Linked DNA regions of Saccharomyces cerevisiae S288C. The gene in region 2 interacts genetically with the main gene of each other region. Each region holds a gene or a part of one and is shown on either strand. Other genes may lie near its edges.

What was found.
Region 1: mutations in BSC6 (region 2) and OTU2 together harm fitness more than expected from each alone (negative genetic interaction), as found in Saccharomyces cerevisiae (one large-scale study listed by BioGRID).

Annotation. Positions count from the first base shown.
Region 1 is NC_001140.6:70,689-80,294, forward strand, and holds OTU2 (deubiquitinase OTU2), read right to left. Parts: upstream 7,666-9,606; coding exon 6,742-7,665; downstream 1-6,741. Other genes in the region: YHL017W (uncharacterized protein), read left to right, coding at 1-1,186; DUR3 (Dur3p), read right to left, coding at 1,349-3,556; YHL015W-A (uncharacterized protein), read left to right, coding at 4,011-4,094; 40S ribosomal protein uS10 RPS20, read left to right, coding at 4,724-5,089; YLF2 (Ylf2p), read right to left, coding at 5,409-6,626; YHL012W (UTP--glucose-1-phosphate uridylyltransferase), read left to right, coding at 8,248-9,606.
Region 2 is NC_001147.6:60,000-70,198, reverse strand, and holds BSC6 (Bsc6p), read right to left. Parts: upstream 4,579-10,199; coding exon 3,085-4,578; downstream 1-3,084. Other genes in the region: mediator complex subunit MED7, read left to right, coding at 155-823; PFK27 (6-phosphofructo-2-kinase), read left to right, coding at 1,445-2,638; RTC1 (Rtc1p), read left to right, coding at 4,849-8,874; CDC33 (translation initiation factor eIF4E), read left to right, coding at 9,175-9,816; ARG8 (acetylornithine transaminase), read right to left, coding at 10,169-10,199. UniProt on the Saccharomyces cerevisiae protein: Probable transporter.

The DNA.
Region 1 (9,606 bases), on a different chromosome or scaffold from region 2:
TCAACAAGAATTGGGCACTAACGACAAGGTATACTCAATTAACAAAACTGGTTACTATTGTGTGACCACGTCATCTTTCATTTCTTCCAGTTCCAAGTTTAAGGCTACAGTGAATTTTAGGAACGCTTACGGTCAATTGGACGCTTCAGAGGCGTACAAGATGCCTATTTATGCCTTTTTGGCCGTCGCTTATGCCGTCTGTACATTAGTGTACTCTTGGCTATGCTGGAAGCATAGACATGAGTTACTGCCTTTACAAAGGTACATTTTGGTATTTTGTATTTTCCTAACAGCTGATACTATTTTCGTCTGGATGTACTATATTATTGAGAACCAGAAGGGAAACTCCAGCGTCGCTCTTCATGTCTATATGGTTTTCATATCGATCTTTAGCGCCGGTAAGATGACTTTCACGCTTCTCCTCGCCTTGCTGATATCTCTTGGATATGGTATAGTATATCCAAAACTGGACCGTACATTGCTAAGAAGATGTCAAATATTTGCGATATTTACGTTTGCAGTGTGCGTTGCATTCCTGGTCCAAAAATATTCCCAGAATTCTGAGTCTTTATCCAATTTGATTTTGATTACTGCTATCCCCTTAGTATTATGTCTATTCGCTTTCTATTATTTGACACTGTCTTCAATGAACAAAACAATGACTTATTTGAGGGAACAAAACCAAGTGGTGAAATTAAACATGTACAGAAAACTGATCATATTGTGTTATATTTCGTTGTTTATACTCTTCTTAGGCTTACTAGTCTCTACTTTTGCATACGTCGGTATGGACACTGTTGACATGATAGAACAATATTGGAAAACAGAATTCCTCATCACAGATACTTGGCCTAGTTTCGTTTACTTCTTGGTCTTCGTCATTTTCGCATTCTTCTGGAGACCTACAAGTACATCATATTTACTAGCGTGCTCGCATCAATTACCAACTGACATGGAAAATGTATCAGAATTCGATTTAGATGACATAAATTCCTTGTCTGATGAGGCATTGCCTAATAGAGAGCCACGTAATGACTACCAGGAACACGATCACAATATGGATATTGATTTAGCATCCGATTTTGAAGAAGTGCCAAGTGTAAATGCAAATACGAACGCAAATAATGACGTATTGTTCGACGTAGATTACGACAGAGATGCAAAAAATGATAGAAGTACTACATAAACGGACCAAATAACATAAATTTAGAAATTTCCTTTTTTTTTTTTTTTTCCCCTTGACTTTCTTTTCTTTTATGTACCTATAATGAAAGACTATTTTATAATTAGAGCTATTTAAAAATTATTAATGAGGTTGATGAGTGGATAGAATATTATATTTTGAAAGCTAAATTATTTCATCAACTTGTCCGAAATGTGATGATTGTCTATGTGCTCTCGCACTAATTTGGCTTGTTACTACATGCAGATCTTGTGGGTTCGAATTTTGCCATTCCCTTAATTTATAAGTTTGACCAGATAGATCCCAGTAAAGGCCTCGCAAAGTGGTATATATACCATGCCTACCTTCCCAGAGTGGATAAATACAAACGGCAAACGCACTGAAAAAAAGCCAGATGATCATCACAACAACCCAACCGGTAAAGAATTTTTTACTGAAGATATATTTGGAACCATACATGGGCATGGGCCAAACTACCAAAAATGCCAAAGCGAAAAAAACACATAGGAAGTATGCAATTTTTAAACCACGTGCTAGTTCTCTTTGTTCTTCGTCTAATTCATTTTGTAACTGTGTGTCATCTTCTTGAAAAATGGCATTACTTATTACAACACCAAGGTTAGGCTCAATCAATTTTTCATTATTTACTCTAACATCGTTTTTTTCACTATCTGAGACCAGAGAATTTGTTTCTTCTTCTTGTTCCTTATCGTTAGCTTCAGCATCGTAAAGCTGGATATCAGGGTCAGCCTGAACTAACTCTGCAGTTTCGTCAACTCTAGTAATATCTTTCATTTTCTCCCAGTCAAAATTTTGTGGCTTAAACACATACGTTAAAATAGGAATAAAAATGGCTGGTGATAGCAAAGCCACCAAGTTACCTGTTAACATTGGATAATCCATGAACGTAGTATCCACGGTCAATTCTTTATAAAGGGATTTGGTACAGACAAGCCATGACATTATAGCCAGTCCTGTGCCCAAAATAGGCGACACTACAGCGGCCACCAAATTCATGTCTTTGGAACATAAGGTCAAAACGACAGGTAATACTGCACTACTAATAATTATACCCATCATTTCATAGATATAACCCATAGAAATACCACCATAGTATAAACCAACCGAAAATCCACTCATGGCAAGACCAAAAAAGATACAAGCAACGTGTGATGTGTAAATCAATTTCTTACCGCTTGCACGAGGATCAATATATTCTCTATAGATATCGTAAGTGAAAACAGATGAAACGGCAATTAGTTCAGCAGACATAGCAGATGTGACGGCCATGAAAATCATTAGCAGCGATGCCACAGCACCCCCCTTACCCATGATAGCAATTGCAGCTGCCGGCAAGACTAACCCAGAATTTGCCTGGAACGAAGTAAGTGGATCAGGATAGGTGGGGAAGTTCGGAGACGTTTCCACCGCAAGACATGCTAATCCCATGGTCAATGAAATCAAAGAAGGTACTGCAAACCATGCTAACCCACCGATGGCATATGCTTTCAAACTCGCTGCGGGACTAGCAGAAATCGCTTTATTCCAATAACCATTATCAAGGAAAACGGTGCCGAAATTTCCAATCAGGTTAATAATTAATAAAATACCAGCGGATTTGGATGTCATGGTCATATATTCACCCTGATAGTTACCGTCTACTGGATGCCTCTTGGCGGCTTCACGAACTAAGTCATAAACTTTTCCCGGTGAGCCTAAAACATCACTAGTCGCATAAACTTTAAAGGCAAATACGAGGACAATGATGATAATGACACATGTGTGCATATAGTCCGTTAAGAAAGTTGCTTTAATCCCACCAAATAGAGTATAAACAACAACACCCACAGGCAGTAAAAAACATGATGCGATAGTGTTCATCCCGGTTAAATCACTAAAGACAGCAGAACCTGAAGTTAAAAGCATTGAAGTGACTAAAATATTCGTCGCGATGGCATAAAACAAGTAGCAACCATGGCCGATCTTACCATATCTTGTTCTCACTAATTCTAAATATGTGTGCGCATTGGGAGCCATTTGCTTGGTTTTAATTGCCAAAATTGCGAATGCAATAATTTGGAAGCATGCGCCAGCAGCGTACGCATAACCGCCAAATATACCGTCTGCATATTCCTTTGTTGACGACGTTAACAATGTAGAACACCAGATCCAACTAGAAACCACGGCTGCAGCCACTAAGCCGGTTTTTACAGATCTACCGGCGGTGGTGAATTCTTCTGCTGTGATGATTTCCTTTTGATAACGTTTCAGTAAATAAGTGGTCAAAACCATCATTCCTGCAAATACGGCCCCTAGGCCCAATACAATAGCGTACCCAGCGCCTTGAGGTAGCGGAGGTTTAAATTCTCCCATACTATAACAATGACAAATTTATGTTATTACTTTTTCTTGGATGAACCCAATTTAAGAATCTAGACAAGGGAAACTGCTAACAATAGTAAAGCTACGGCTATACTACTGCTTCATTTTATATACTTGGCGAACAAGACGTATCTTCATGCAACACCGATGAATAGAGCACATCTTGCCTGTTATCTAAGGATAACCGTACCGTAGAAAGCGCAATGATGAGTTACACCTTTCCCATAGGTACGCCTGCTTGTTTCTATGCTGCAACTGACTATTGGCCTGTCCACTCTCGAGCATTATTGTCTGTCGCATTTGCTATCATAAAATATCCCGATAAGATAACACCCAAATGTGCGCCGCCTCATTTCATCATCGGAAAAAAGGTGCGGCACCAATAGATAAACAGAATTGGAATGCCTAGTTTGAGTCAGCCTTGCTGCATAAAACAAATACCTGTATGACTGCTTTTGCATCTTTAAGAGAACCTTTGGTCTTGGCTAATCTCAAAATTAAAGTTCATATCTACCGTATGAAGCGCTGATAAAGAGCGCCAAATCTGCACCTTGTGCATTTTGTTCACACATTCTTGGCGCTCCTAACTGGAGAAACGTCTATCATTGAGGATAACTCCGGATAGTCGCATTCTGATTGAATAGCCGTCTAGCTCCCTATTGTGACTAGAATACTATTGACATCGTTTTCTCATCAAAACCTCCCGATAAAGGGAAAAAAAGAATTATCTGACCAGATCATTCGGAAAAATGCGTATCGTCATTGATATCCTTCTTGTCTTGTCTGCTGCTAACACTATTTACTATGGAAAGAGAGATTTCCCTGAAACTTCTTATTTTTATCTCTATAGAAGGGGAAAAGATAAAAGTAAAAATGTAAAAATGTTTACCTGCAAGTTCACACCTGTACATTTTCTACATCCGTAAACATAAGAGAAAAAATGCCACAACTATTTTTATGAAGATAAAGTTCGGGTAACGATAATGTTTTAATTTTGAAAAAAAAACTTCGACGCATTCGCGACTAGCCTCAGAGATTGAGTAATAGACCGTATTGAATTCAAAATAATAGTAAAGATGGGTTATTTCATTCAAGCTCAGCTTTAGATTGAAACTCCTACAAGAAAGCAAGTAAAATAAACAAAAAGGTATATACAAAATGTCTGACTTTCAAAAGGAAAAGGTTGAAGAACAAGAACAACAACAACAACAAATCATCAAGATTAGAATCACTTTGACCTCCACCAAGGTTAAGCAATTGGAAAACGTCTCTTCCAACATTGTCAAGAACGCTGAACAACACAACTTGGTCAAGAAGGGTCCAGTCAGACTACCAACCAAGGTTTTGAAGATCTCCACCAGAAAGACTCCAAATGGTGAAGGTTCTAAGACTTGGGAAACCTACGAAATGAGAATCCACAAGAGATACATCGACTTGGAAGCTCCTGTTCAAATCGTTAAGAGAATCACTCAAATCACCATTGAACCTGGTGTGGATGTCGAAGTTGTTGTTGCTTCCAACTAAGCTGGTTCTAACTGGAAATAATTTCCATTAGATTCCTCTTTTTCTCGTCCATTAACCAAAATATATTATTGAATTCAGCGGTTCCTTTTTTCTCATTTTCGCATATAGCTGCACTATTAGAATCAGCCCACTCTAGGTAAACACAGTTCCTCGATATACCTCTGTCTTACTATCAGTGGTTAAACCTTATGCAAATATAATATATATATATATATATATATATATATCTCATACTTTTGTTGATTCTTGTGTAATTATTGGAAAAGACAAAACAAAGCAAGCGTTTCTATTCATATTTACAAGTATTTTTTATGACAAACTATTTCTTAATTTTCCCACCGGCGGCTTTGAATAAGGCAATGTCATTGTCCTGCATAATATATTGTTTGCCTGCACGTTTGATAAGTCCCTTAGATTTTAGTAAAGACTCATTTAGCGGTGGTTCCATCTTCTTCAGATCGTCATATTTTATTACATCAGCGCTGATAAATGTTTCACGCAAGTCGCTATGGATTACACCCGCGGCCTCTTGAGCGGTGGTTCCCTCCCTTATATTCCATTGGTGAACTTCTTGTGGGCCGCATGTAAAGAAGCTAATTAAGTTCAACAACTTTCTCATTTCTAGTATTATTTGCGGTATCGCAGAAACTAACTGTTGATCAGAAACATTGGTATCTTCCTTGATCTTGTCAAAATACTCTGACGCTATGCCTTTACATTCCATCAATTGCGATTCAAATTCTGCACTGAAAAGTAGGAATTTATCTCCTGGCGAAAATTCGTTAATCCATTCTATAATATTTCTGACAAATTTATTTTCATTCCTAACGTAATCTTGAGGTGAAACATTTAGCAATATCAAAGTTGGTTTGGAGGTTAAAAAGTTATGCTTATTCAAAATTTTGACTTCATCCAGGTTCCAATGATCTTTGAAATGCCGGATTTTTTTACCGTTAAACAAATGTTCCTCTAATGCATCTAATAATTCTGTCTCTATCTTCATTTCCTGATGTTCTTTAGAATTCTTCGAAACCATTCTCATCTTCTTACTAAGTCTTTCCCTAATGTTTTCCAGAAATTCTAAGTCTTTCAAGATGAGTTCATCTTGTACCACGGATAGATCTCTGACAGGATCAACATTACCTTCTATATGGGTGATGTCTTCCTTTAAGAATCCTCTCACCACTTGAAATATCCCCTCTACGTGTCTGATATCGTTTAAGAACTTGTTACCCAAACCATGGCCTTGAGATGCGCCTCTGGTGAGCCCAGCAATATCATATATTGTGAGTGTTCCAGGTACGCATTTCGCACTCTGATATATTCTCAATAAATTAGAGAGCGGCACGCTAGGTATATTGACTTTGGCACATTCTGCGTCAATGGTAGCGAATGGATAATTTGCAGGATTTCCCAATTTTGAGTTTGTTATTGCTTGGAAAAAAGTCGATTTACCAACATTAGCAAGCCCTACTATCCCTGAAGTTGGATTATTCGATATCCTCCCAAGTAAAAATTTTCCTCCACCAATGTTCATATCCGATTATTACTTCTCTTTATTCTTTTATATCCATATGCTTCAAACTATACAATTAAATAGATGCATTAAGGTTTACAAATAAGCATATCTCATTAGATACGGATGGGAAAAATCAAGAATCATGCAATGAATTATAATGCTCACCTAATGCATAGCTGTGTTTATAGTAAACTAGCTTCAATTCAGGATTTTTCCCACATTCATTGTACACTTGAATAGGTCTTCCACTCATCAGAATGCTAATGGGGCAGTCGAAAACGTGAGAGAGAGCCAAAATCTCAATTTCACCACCCCATTGAGCTGTATGCTCCATCTCTTTCGTATACTCATCAATGTCTTTCATCTTCATAGTTTCTTCATCAAACAAATATGGAATGAAATCATCCCTGTGCTCCTGTACGTAATTACAACTCAACCATCTCAGCTTCATGACATCCATGTCTTGATCCAGTTTTTTTGGATCATGGCGTAATTTTAACTGATCTAATATAGATGCAAAGAGACAGTGGCCATCGGGTTGTATATCGAATTGTTTCAGTTTCTTCAACTCGCATAACTGATCTATAGACTCCTGCTCCATTTTTTTCAAGTCCGGTTGTTTGGATGCTTCTAAAGCAGCCTCTTCTTTCATTTTAGCAATTGCTGCATCTCTTTTGGCCAATCTTTCCTTTTGTCTATTGCGACGCTTCTTTGTCTGGCCTTGTTGCTGTTGTTGAACGGGAACATTCTGTTGTTCTTTCTCATCTCGAGATATGGATAGTTGTTCTAAAAGTTTTTCAGGAGTCACTTCATCTTCTTGTTCTGCGTCAAACACTTCATTATTTGCAATTTTCCAATCCCTTATTTCATTTTCTTGCTTAGTCTTTAGTTTATCTTGAAGATCTAGGCATTTCGAATTAACTTCTTTCCTTTTGGATTTAGTAGCCTGCTTTTTCATACCCGTTATCTTATTCTGTAAATCTTTATTTTCCTTGCGATGTCTCGCCAAAATATCTTCCATGTTTTCCAAATTCTCTCCTGATTCCATGCCGGTCATGATGAATATCTCTTGTTCTCTCTACTAGATTGAATGCTGTGCTTTAGTTGGATTTTGTATTAGATGCTTTCGAGATGCCCAAACTAAAAACAAGGCGTGAAGAAAAAGAAATTTCGCGACGCATAATAATACTTTCTTTGACAGGGCCAGGGCTGCCAACTTTTCAGATTTTAACAATTGAGAAATTTATTGTGGTAAGAAAACCATAAATTTCCACTCTGTTGGAATTAAAATTTCCTGTATTGAACGAGAGTAGAAGCACACAATTTTCTTGAAGAAAAAGTAGTTAGTCTTCCATAATGTTCAATGGCCTTATCACACAAAAAAAAAAGAATGAAAGTACTATCAGCTTATAAGTCCTGATTAATTAAAAAAAGAATGCAGGAATAGCACCTTATAGTAAAAAAAGTAAATTTAAGTAATTAAATATAACTATACTGTAACTTTTTTGAATTGTATTTTCCCTGGCATTTACAATCTTTTTGTAACCTGGAATTTAACGATAACTGACACAAGTGATTCTTGATAATAAAAAAAAAAAGGAAAAATATTTCACTGTTCTACATAGTATATACAAGATCAATGACGGTTTTCTCTGGAGTAAATAAAATAGAGTTTGAAGGTACTTTCGAAGGTATTGGAAAGGATGTTGTTATGTCACAAATGATAAGGGCCTTGCAGAAACATTTTCCTTCGATACGTGACAAGAATTATGAGTTTAGCCTATTTTTGCACATTTTTCAAAGATATGTCTTAGAAAATACTTCAATCACCCATGATCTAGTTTGTGACAAAATTAGATTACCGATAATTGATGAAGTGGTTGAACTCGATGATATTAAAAATTACGGTTTGTTAGAGGGTAAACTATTATCAAAGTTAGCTATTTTAAAATTAACCGGAAAGGCTAATCCAATCATTGGTAAAGAAAGCCCTTTATTCGAAGTAAAAAATGGGATGTCTTCATTGGATGTAATAGTTCGACAAACGCAAAATTTGAATGTACGATATAATTCAGACGTTCCTCTTATATTTATGACCTCGCTTGAAACTGAATCTCAAGTATCAAACTTCCTTGAAGAGCATTATTCTTCTAGCAAAGTGAGATGGAAAACCGTAGTTCAGTCAAGCTTTCCACAAATTGATAAAGATAGATTATTACCTATCGATTTACAAATAAATTCTCATGAAAATGATTTTTGGTATCCTTGCGGGACTGGTAACCTAACTGACACTTTGTATTTTTCAGGAGAATTGGACAAATTAATTGCTCAAGGAAAAGAGATTTTATTTGTTTCAAATGTTGACAATTTGGGCGCTACAGGAGATTTGAACATTTTAAATTTCATCATAAATGAAAAAATCGAGTATCTTGTTGAAGTAGTTGAAAGGACTGCAAATGTTTCAAACACTGGAGTGTTGGCAACATATAAAGGTAAACTACGATCGGTTTATTACAACTGCTTATCCAATGAAAGTGCAAGCACGTGTCGAATTGTCAACACTAATAACATTTGGATTGATTTGAAAAAGCTAAAGGTGCTAATAGAGTCTAATAGTTTAAATTTGCCAATTCATTCTAGTGAAAGTAAAATAACACACAAAAATGAAGAGATAGAGTGTCTTCAATTTAAGACACAGTTGGTCGATTGTATTGCCTTCTTTCCGAACAGTCGAGTATTGAAAGTATCAAGAGACAGATTTTTACCCCTAAGAACATGTAAGGACTTGTTTTTGTTGAAATCAACATTATATGATCTCGATTCAAATGGAACATTTAACCTCTACCCTCTGAAATTTGGATTATTACCTTCAATCGACTTGGGCGATGAGTTTGCAACTTATGAGACTTTTAAGATAGGAGTACCAGATATTCCTAATATTCTGGAATTAGAGCATTTAACTGTGATGGGAAATGTGTTTTTTGGTCGTAATATAACT
Region 2 (10,199 bases):
AGAAACTATTATCACGAAATACGAAATGTTAGTTAGAACTTAAACAACGAATCTTGCATTTTCAGCAGGCAGGTCATTAGACGTGCAAATATGACATAAAAGAGGTTTCATATCCCAAATTTAAGCTAGTAAAAAAAAAATTCACAAACTAAAAATGTCCAATGATCCTGGTAATGAGGTTAGCTCCTTGTACCCACCTCCACCCCCATACGTGAAGTTTTTCACACAGTCCAATCTGGAAAAATTACCAAAATACAAAGAAAAGAAGGCCGCAAGTGCGAAGCAGACGGCTCCAAATAACAGTAACGGCGGCAGTGAAGAGGAGATTACATGTGCGCTAGATTACCTAATCCCACCCCCCATGCCCAAAAATCAGCAGTACCGAGCGTTTGGGAGTATATGGCAGGTGAAGGACCAACTGCCCGATTTAGAGAGCATGGGACTCACCCAACTTTATAAGAAATCCACAGAAAACGAAAGCACAAATTATCAATACAAAATCCAAGAGCTACGCAAACTATTGAAATCCCTCCTGCTAAATTACTTGGAACTCATCGGCGTATTGAGCATAAATCCGGATATGTATGAGCGCAAAGTGGAGAACATAAGGACCATTCTTGTCAATATTCACCACCTACTTAATGAGTACAGACCCCATCAGTCCCGAGAGTCCCTTATTATGCTATTGGAAGAACAATTAGAATACAAGCGCGGGGAAATTCGCGAGATCGAGCAAGTATGCAAACAGGTACACGACAAACTCACCAGCATACAGGACACCTTAAGAACCGGATCACAATCTCCTCCATCGTCGTCCCAATGACCACACTATTATAAATCATTTGTGTAACTATATACATTTTCAACTACCGTATAGCGTATAGTAGGCACGTGGTAGTCCACCCGTACACCTCCCTCGGAACGGAAAAATACGAACTATAGCTTATCGGAATATATACCAAAAATTAATTGACGTATTTCCGAGATTCCAGGCACAAGTGCCCCACCTTTTCACAGAAATCGCGCACAGATGAGTCTGCAACGGAAATTGTTTTCCTTTTTTTTCTTTTTCTTCTCTGGGCATCTGAATCGATTGATAATGAAAAAAAAGTAGAAAAAGTAAATTGGATTACTCGGTTTTTCGTGTGGAAGATTGGCTTATATAAAAGAAGACGTGCTCTAAACAAAGGTGTTTTCGCTTATTTTGGTGCCACAGCAAACCAACTTATTTGCTTTTTTAGAGGGTGTTAAAAAGTCTGATACGCTCATATACGAGTAACACTAAACCGGAAATACTAGGAGAGCCCAGTACTTATACTTCTTATTTGGCTTCAAGTTCCACTGCCCTCGAAACAAATTACCTTACGCGATTTTTAATATTTTAGATATAAGGAAAAGGAAGAAAAGGGATAACGAACGCGTTTTTTCCGCTGGAAGTTTGAAAATGGGTGGTTCTTCCGATTCAGACTCTCACGATGGATATTTGACTTCCGAATATAATTCCTCGAATTCTCTTTTTTCACTTAACACCGGTAACAGCTATTCAAGCGCATCTCTCGACAGAGCCACTTTAGATTGTCAAGATTCTGTTTTTTTCGATAATCACAAAAGTTCACTGCTGTCTACAGAGGTCCCAAGGTTTATTTCTAACGACCCGTTACACTTACCCATTACACTGAATTACAAAAGAGACAATGCAGACCCTACGTATACAAATGGAAAAGTTAACAAGTTTATGATTGTTTTGATTGGGCTACCAGCTACTGGGAAGTCTACCATTTCTTCTCATTTAATTCAATGTTTGAAGAACAATCCGCTAACTAATTCATTACGCTGTAAAGTTTTTAATGCTGGTAAGATAAGAAGGCAAATCAGTTGTGCTACCATTTCAAAGCCTTTGCTTTTGTCGAATACATCTTCGGAAGACTTATTTAATCCGAAAAATAACGATAAAAAGGAAACGTATGCCAGGATCACTTTGCAAAAGTTGTTTCACGAAATCAACAACGATGAATGTGACGTGGGAATCTTCGACGCCACAAATTCGACCATCGAAAGAAGAAGATTTATATTTGAGGAGGTTTGTTCGTTCAATACAGATGAGCTTTCTAGTTTCAATTTGGTGCCCATAATCTTACAGGTGTCATGTTTTAACAGAAGCTTTATCAAATACAATATCCACAATAAATCGTTTAATGAAGACTACTTAGACAAACCTTATGAACTTGCCATCAAAGATTTTGCAAAGAGATTAAAACATTACTATTCGCAGTTTACACCTTTCTCCCTTGATGAGTTCAATCAAATCCATCGATATATCAGCCAACATGAAGAAATCGATACGAGCTTATTTTTCTTCAATGTTATTAATGCGGGCGTCGTTGAGCCACATTCTTTAAATCAAAGTCATTACCCTTCAACCTGCGGCAAGCAAATTAGGGACACCATTATGGTTATTGAAAATTTCATCAATCACTATTCTCAGATGTTTGGTTTTGAATACATCGAAGCTGTTAAATTGTTTTTTGAAAGTTTTGGAAATAGCTCAGAGGAAACTTTAACTACACTAGACTCTGTTGTTAATGATAAATTTTTTGATGATTTGCAGAGCCTAATTGAAAGCAACGGATTTGCTTGACTGATACTTTACCATACGGGAGTTGAATATCGGTACTCCTTTATTATATTTATGATCCTCTCCAGAACTCCATCTACCTCCCGCCTTTTAATGACCATTTTTACGACCTTTTCGCATGTTTTTCTATTCTTTTACAGTTTCCTTGGTACCGCTAGTTACATTATGTTATCTTGAAAAGGCTACTATACACTTTTTTTGCACTACTGAAGCAGCTTTCAAAAGCTCTTTATAGACTTCAGATAGTATTACTTTTTCCTTAAAATTCTATCTATTTGTAAACGACCAAGAGTGTCATTATGTATACTATATATCAAAAAGTTCCATATGTTGTCTGAAGTTCCTTTTATCTTCCGCCTTTCTATCTTTCTGTTACAATTATTCAACAGCTTTATTTTTCTAATTTTGGAATTAGTTGCAATGCACTGGCACCGATGGCGTTTCTGAAACTAAAAATATTCTTCATGCCCTTTTATGAATTTAGGATACAATGTCCATTCCAATGTAAATAACGCAACCATAATCCAACACAATAGTGGGATATACTGGATTCCCACTGTGTGTGCAATAACTCCAGCCAAATATGGAATGGCTGCACCACCACAACCACCAACGGCGACGGCAACCCCAACCCCGCTCACATGTAGTCTTTTGGGCAATACTTGTAATGCAACTATACTTGCGTTTGGGAATAATGGTCCGATAAACGTACCACAACAAAAAACAACAAAAAATAACACGACGAAATAGAAAACTGAGCTTGAATTGATCAACCCAACAAGCACAAATAAGGTGTATGAAGATAGAGTTAAAAAAGCGTACGCTTTGCTTGCTTTATACTCGTTTTCGAAGAATCTTTCAGTAACAAATCCTAGACACAACCTGCCTACAGTCAAACCTGTCCAAAACGATGCCGCTATGTATGACATAGCAACCTTATTACTTGATTTAGTTTCCAATAAATAACTAAAGAACCATGAACCAGTTGTAATTTCAGCACCTAAGTAAAGGAACAAATACAATGAGTACAAGAAAATAGCAGGATTTCTTAAAAGTTCAAAAAATCCTGGGCTCGCCTTGGTAGATTCCATCAGCGAGTTATCACCCGCTTCTTCCACATCATTGTTGCTTTCTTTGTTTTCCACAGAGCAGAGGTAGTCGTATTTACTTGCAGTTTCAAATTTAAAAGCTGGGAAGATTACAATCATGCCTATTATAGAAAAGAACAGAGGAATAAGGAAAAAAAGAGACCAATGACCCCATTCAACAAAATATGAAACTAAGGGAGGAGTAACCATAGCTGCTGCCCCGTAAAGACCATGCATGATACCCATGAGTTCATTCTTATGGACTAAAAGACTGCCCATTAAAACATTACCGGTAGAATCTAAGATGCCGATCCCTAAACCAAGAGGAAGGCCACAAAACATACAAACATAGAAACTAGAAGGTGCAGTTGCTAAAATGATAAGAAATACTATACACAAACCAGCTGCTAGAAGCATACCACCTCTCATACCAAAGTGCTTATTCAATCTCTCTTTTGATAAAGACGCCATCACATAACCACATAATTGGACTATAAATACGTTTGAGACATCTACCCGCGATATATGATAGTATTCAATTAGCGTAGGAAGTAGTGCACCTACTGTTTGATCGTTCATACCAAAGACTACGAACATAATCAAGCATGCTATCACCTGCAGCTTTACTAGTGGTACAGTTTGATAGTTTAGTGGATATGTTTTAACTTTCTCGCCCTGCCAGTCAATTTCTTTGATTAAGTTTGTATTGTTAGGTAGACTATCTTCATCTTGAGAATTTCTTCTGGAGTCTGATGATGATAGCAGATTTTTCAACTCTATTGGGTTATGATGTGAAATTTCAGTTGTATACATTCCATAATCATCTACCTTTGGTGGAACCGAGGAAGCATCCATGCTGAAAACTTATATATGGATTAAATTATACTATGAATCCCTAGGATCTTATTCTTGGTTTCTTACTATAGCATTTTAGAATACTGTTGAATGTCTAGCTATGCATGATCGGAGAGTTTAAATTTTTCTGTCTCGGAACGTTCTTTTTAATTTGTCAAAAACATCGATATATAACGATGATTACTGAAAAAGGAAAACCGATTGATAATACATATGGTGCGATTGCTGGCTGAAGGCGAGTGAGCTATTGAGTGGATTTAGTTGAAAATCATGAGCTTATCACCACACGTAGAAAATGCTTCCATTCCCAAGGGGAGTACCCCGATACCAAAAAACAGAAACGTTAGTTCTATAGGCAAGGGCGAGTTTCTTGGATCTTCGTCAAGCAACAATTCTTCTTTTCGAATGAATCATTACTCAAATAGTGGACAACCTTCCGTGTTAGATTCTATACGGCGACCTAATCTAACTCCAACTTTTTCTTACAGTAATGGGGTTTATATGCCTGAAAGTCACAGAACTAGTTCATTCAACGATAGTTATTTGCCATATGATAAGAATCCTTACGCAAAAACAACCGGAAGCATGAGCAATAAATCGAACATGAAAATCAAAACAAAGAAAAATGCAATCAACACAAATACAAGAAAGTCGTCTGGACTCATTTACACCACCAAAGTGGATAAAGAATTATCTAGTATAGACAAAGTGAATGATCCAAACATTAACGGTCTTGTTTGTGCAGGTAAAACTCATTTGGGGCTCTATAAATTCTCGCCCTCAGATAGATCTATCAAATGCGTTCATGATTTCATAACACCTAATAGCAACACCTCAACAAGGGGAACGACATCCCTTTTGCCCAAGCTGAGCAAAAGAACAAGACAGAACAAATTTAGTACCATTGCGGATGTTAAGACTGGATTTAATAATTACAAGAACTGTATTGCAGTGTGCAACAATTCTACGGCGATATCGATATATGATCTCAATAAGAGTTCCTCGATAGACAATCCCTTGATAACATCCTTATGCGAACACACTAGATCTATCAATAGTTTTGACTTCAACATGGTCGAATCAAACCTAATAATAAGTGGTGGACAAGATAGTTGTGTAAAAATATGGGATTTACGTTCCAATAAATCTAAAAGCTCAAATAGATCTGACATTAGTATAAATACCGCATCTGACTCAATCAGAGATGTAAAATGGATGCCCGGTTACAATTTTGCATCTAAGAACGATCAAGGTTCATCAACGTATGGTAATTTAAAAAGCGGTTACAAATTTGCTTCTATTCACGATTCGGGATACTTGCTAAAGTTTGATCTTCGACAACCTGCCCAATACGAAAAAAAATTAAATGCTCACACAGGACCCGGTCTTTGTTTAAATTGGCATCCCAATCAAGAATACATTGCTACAGGTGGTAGAGACGGTAAATGCTGCCTCTGGTTTGTTGGCGACAATGCCAATGCCGCCGAAAATACAGTCCTCAATTACGGGAACTCTCCCTCGTTACATGCCCCCAATACGTCCTTGAACAATAGCGGCTCGCTGGCATTTCCCAAACTAACAATTAATACGGGCTATCCAGTCACTAAATTGAAGTTCAAGCCTGCTTATAGTAGTAATATATATAATTCATTACTAGGAATATCGTCAATGGGTGACGAAGCTGAAGTTCGCATCTATTCCTTGGCAAGAAAGTACATTCCAAAACATGTTCTCCTATCAGAAACGCCTTCTTTAGGATTAGTATGGTGGGACGAAAACTTGATCTTTAATATCGATAAGGGGACCCGTATAAATGGCTGGGACATTAACAAAGAACCAACAGTGCTCGAAAATTTGAGCAAAAATACAACAACTTGGAGAGATTTGGATGGTAACGGTTTACTTTCAGTTGACCAAGAGATAGGCTCATATGAGGTGGTAGAACCGGAGCTTCAACCTACCTCAAGTACCACATGCAAGAAGCATCCAGGTACAATAAAAAACCCGAAGAATGGCAATCCAGAGAACCAGGGAATAATTGGAGGGATAAAAAAAGGATTTAGCCATACTGGATTAACAAGTTTTACGCCAGAGAGGCCGCCTACTTTAAAAGCAGGCCCAACGTTTAGCACAAAAAGCTTAACATTAGCATCTGGAGCATCTTCTTTTAACAGCTCTTCCGCATCATTGACATCCCTGACGCCACAAACTGAAAATAGAGAAGAAATCGCCATTGAACCGCCTTGTATCATCACTTTGGATATACCGCAGATCTTCAATAACATAAGATTAACCAAAATCGCACATTCAAGAAAAAAGAACGTCATTTCCGAAAGTTCTTCTATGAAAAATTCTCCAGTAGAAAAGTTCAAATATTTGGCGAGACAGCTCAAGTTTTCGTATATTCGAGAGCATAATGTTTCAGACAGTGCAGACACTGCATATAAAAATGATATAGAGAACATTGACGTCGTTAAAAACGCAACCGAAACACATGGTGATAATACTACTACTACCAATAATAATGATGATGGTGATGATGATGATGATGATGATGATGATGACAAAATAATCGAAAGTCACCTTTTGAAAAAATACAATTTTCCAGAAAATAATACATGGGCTACCTTAATGAATGAAAAAGTAAATAACAAAAAATCCAAAAGAAATTCCAGTAGTTCGAGGGAGTTTGACGAGAAGGATGTCAGATCAAGTATATCTTCCATTTCTGCAAGTAGGCAAAGTCATGACAGAGCTAGGAAGATCGACAAGAACGTGGAAGCAGAACTGCAAGAAAAAATACAAACACTGGTAGATTTGATATCTATTGCAACGCATAACGCATCTGTTTATCTATCCATAGATGATCTAACCAACTTCAAAATCTGGATCTTGATAAGAGATTCATTGTTATGGGACTTGAAGTGGATGACCTCCTCCCAAATTTCATCAGATAACGCATCTAATATGGATGCCAATGAAAGCTCCGATTTCGAAGCTGGAGAAAATCTGAAAACAGGAAAAGAGTTCCCAGAGGAGGATGGTGCAGGGACAAGTGGGGCTGAGTCGTTAGTTGAAGAAAGGCCGCAGGCATTTCGTGCTAACTCTGATGAACCAAGTGATGCCGAAAAGAAACCTGTTTCTAAGCTCAAAGAGCAGCTCAAAAACACGGAAATAATCCCCTATGCGCAGCCAAATGAGGATTCAGATGAAGTTTTAACTAAGCTAAAAGAGCTACAGAACCAACGCTTGGAGTCAAGGACTAAAATGGGAGAAACAGTGAGTGACGATGTGATTATAGAGGAAGACGAACATGAACATCAAGAAGAAGAACAGCCTCATGACTCACCGACTAAGTCAGCACAATTTCACGCGTCTCCTATCGCGAAAAGTATACCAATATTGCAGAAACGTGAGCACCGCAAGTCATTCATAGATACTTTCATGTTGCATTCTCCCAACGGTTACAATGGAGATACGGACATAGGTAACGAAGATGACAATATATCTCCTAGGTTTACTTACAACAGCGTAAGCCCACGCAGTAAGGTTTCGTCGCTACAAAGCTATGCCACAACAACCTCGCAACTAGAAACTTTTAAAAAGCTTTCTTCCCATACAGCACCAATAATCGGATCGCCCAGACATGCGCCATCACGGCCAGATAGCATTGGTAGGGAACAACTGTCTTCTTCATTGACGAAAAAGCTTGCCAAATGCAAGAAAATTATCGCTGACCCACCCTGGGACACGAAAAAACTCATCAAACAACTCTACAATCAAGCTACTGAGACTGGGAACGTCGTATTGACGGTGAATATTTTATTTCTTTTCCAAACGATATACCAAATAACAGAAATCGACATTGCAAAGGACGCAATCGCTCACTTCTTGTTATTATTACATCGATACGAACTCTTCGGCATTGCTGCAGACGTCTTAAAATACTGCCCATTCGAAGATATCATGGGTTCTGAGGGTGACCAATCTTCCATTCGGTTGTTTTGCGAACGCTGTGGTGAGTTAATCACTAACGAAAGTTCTAAAGAAAAGCTCAGAGCGGAAGCTCAGCAGACGGGCAATAAGAAGATCATGGACAAGTTTGGATACTGGTATTGTGACTCTTGTAAGAAGAAGAATACATCTTGTGTTCTATGTGAAAGACCATTAAAGAAACTGACCATGGTCATCCTCCCCTGTGGACACGAAGGTCACTTCCAGTGCATACAAGAATGGTTTCTCGATGAGAATGAACAAGAATGTCCCGGCGGTTGCCCCGGTGTTGCATTCATCTAGGTTCTCCACATAATGTATAGTTTAACATATCATCACCATTGTTTAGTTAAATCGTTTAGAGTAATATTACCCGTCAAAAAGGTCGGGTAAAATTTTATTACCCTCTCCGAAAAGAAAATTTTTTTCGTCGTCAATAGAGTTTAATGCAATACCTGATAAAGAGAGTTTTACATTGCAAGAGGTAGTGTTAATTCTGGATTTATATTGTACATATGTGTTTGTGTTAGTGCTTGAGTACTTCCTAGGAGTTTTACGAAAAATAAAAGCATTTTTGTCTGAAAACTAGTGAAAGGAAGAAAAATGTCCGTTGAAGAAGTTAGCAAGAAGTTTGAAGAAAACGTTTCAGTCGATGATACCACAGCTACTCCAAAGACTGTTTTAAGTGACAGTGCTCACTTCGATGTCAAGCACCCATTGAACACCAAATGGACTTTATGGTACACAAAGCCAGCCGTCGATAAATCTGAGTCGTGGTCTGATCTATTACGTCCCGTCACTTCATTCCAAACTGTTGAAGAATTTTGGGCTATCATTCAAAATATTCCTGAGCCACACGAACTACCATTGAAATCAGATTACCACGTCTTCCGTAATGACGTTAGACCTGAATGGGAAGATGAAGCCAATGCTAAAGGTGGTAAATGGTCTTTCCAACTTAGAGGAAAAGGTGCTGATATTGATGAATTATGGCTAAGAACTTTACTAGCAGTTATTGGTGAAACAATTGATGAAGACGACTCCCAAATTAACGGTGTCGTTTTAAGCATTAGAAAAGGTGGTAACAAGTTTGCCTTATGGACTAAATCTGAAGACAAAGAACCACTATTGAGAATTGGTGGTAAATTCAAGCAAGTTTTAAAATTAACCGATGACGGGCATTTGGAATTCTTTCCACATTCCAGTGCCAATGGTAGACACCCTCAACCATCAATCACCTTGTAAGATAGTCTGAATTTTTCTTAAGATAATTGTTATTTTAATCAAAATTATATATATAATCATAATATAATATATATACATTCTACTAGTTAGGATGCACGTATAAACTCATCATGTTAACACAGAAGGAAAAGTCAAAATGAAGGAGAAAAAAAAAAAAAAAAAAAAAAAAGAGAGGATGACGTTAAAAGGACAACTCTTATTAATTATATCATTCAAGGTATGAAAGACGCACCACATGTACATATCACGTAAGATGTTCCTATGTGTCTCTGACCGAATGGCATTTTTTATACTACAATATAAAGATGAAAAAAAAAAAAACAATCTATACATGACAATTTACAAAGTATATTTAAGCGTAAACCGCTTCAATAGCCTTTTCA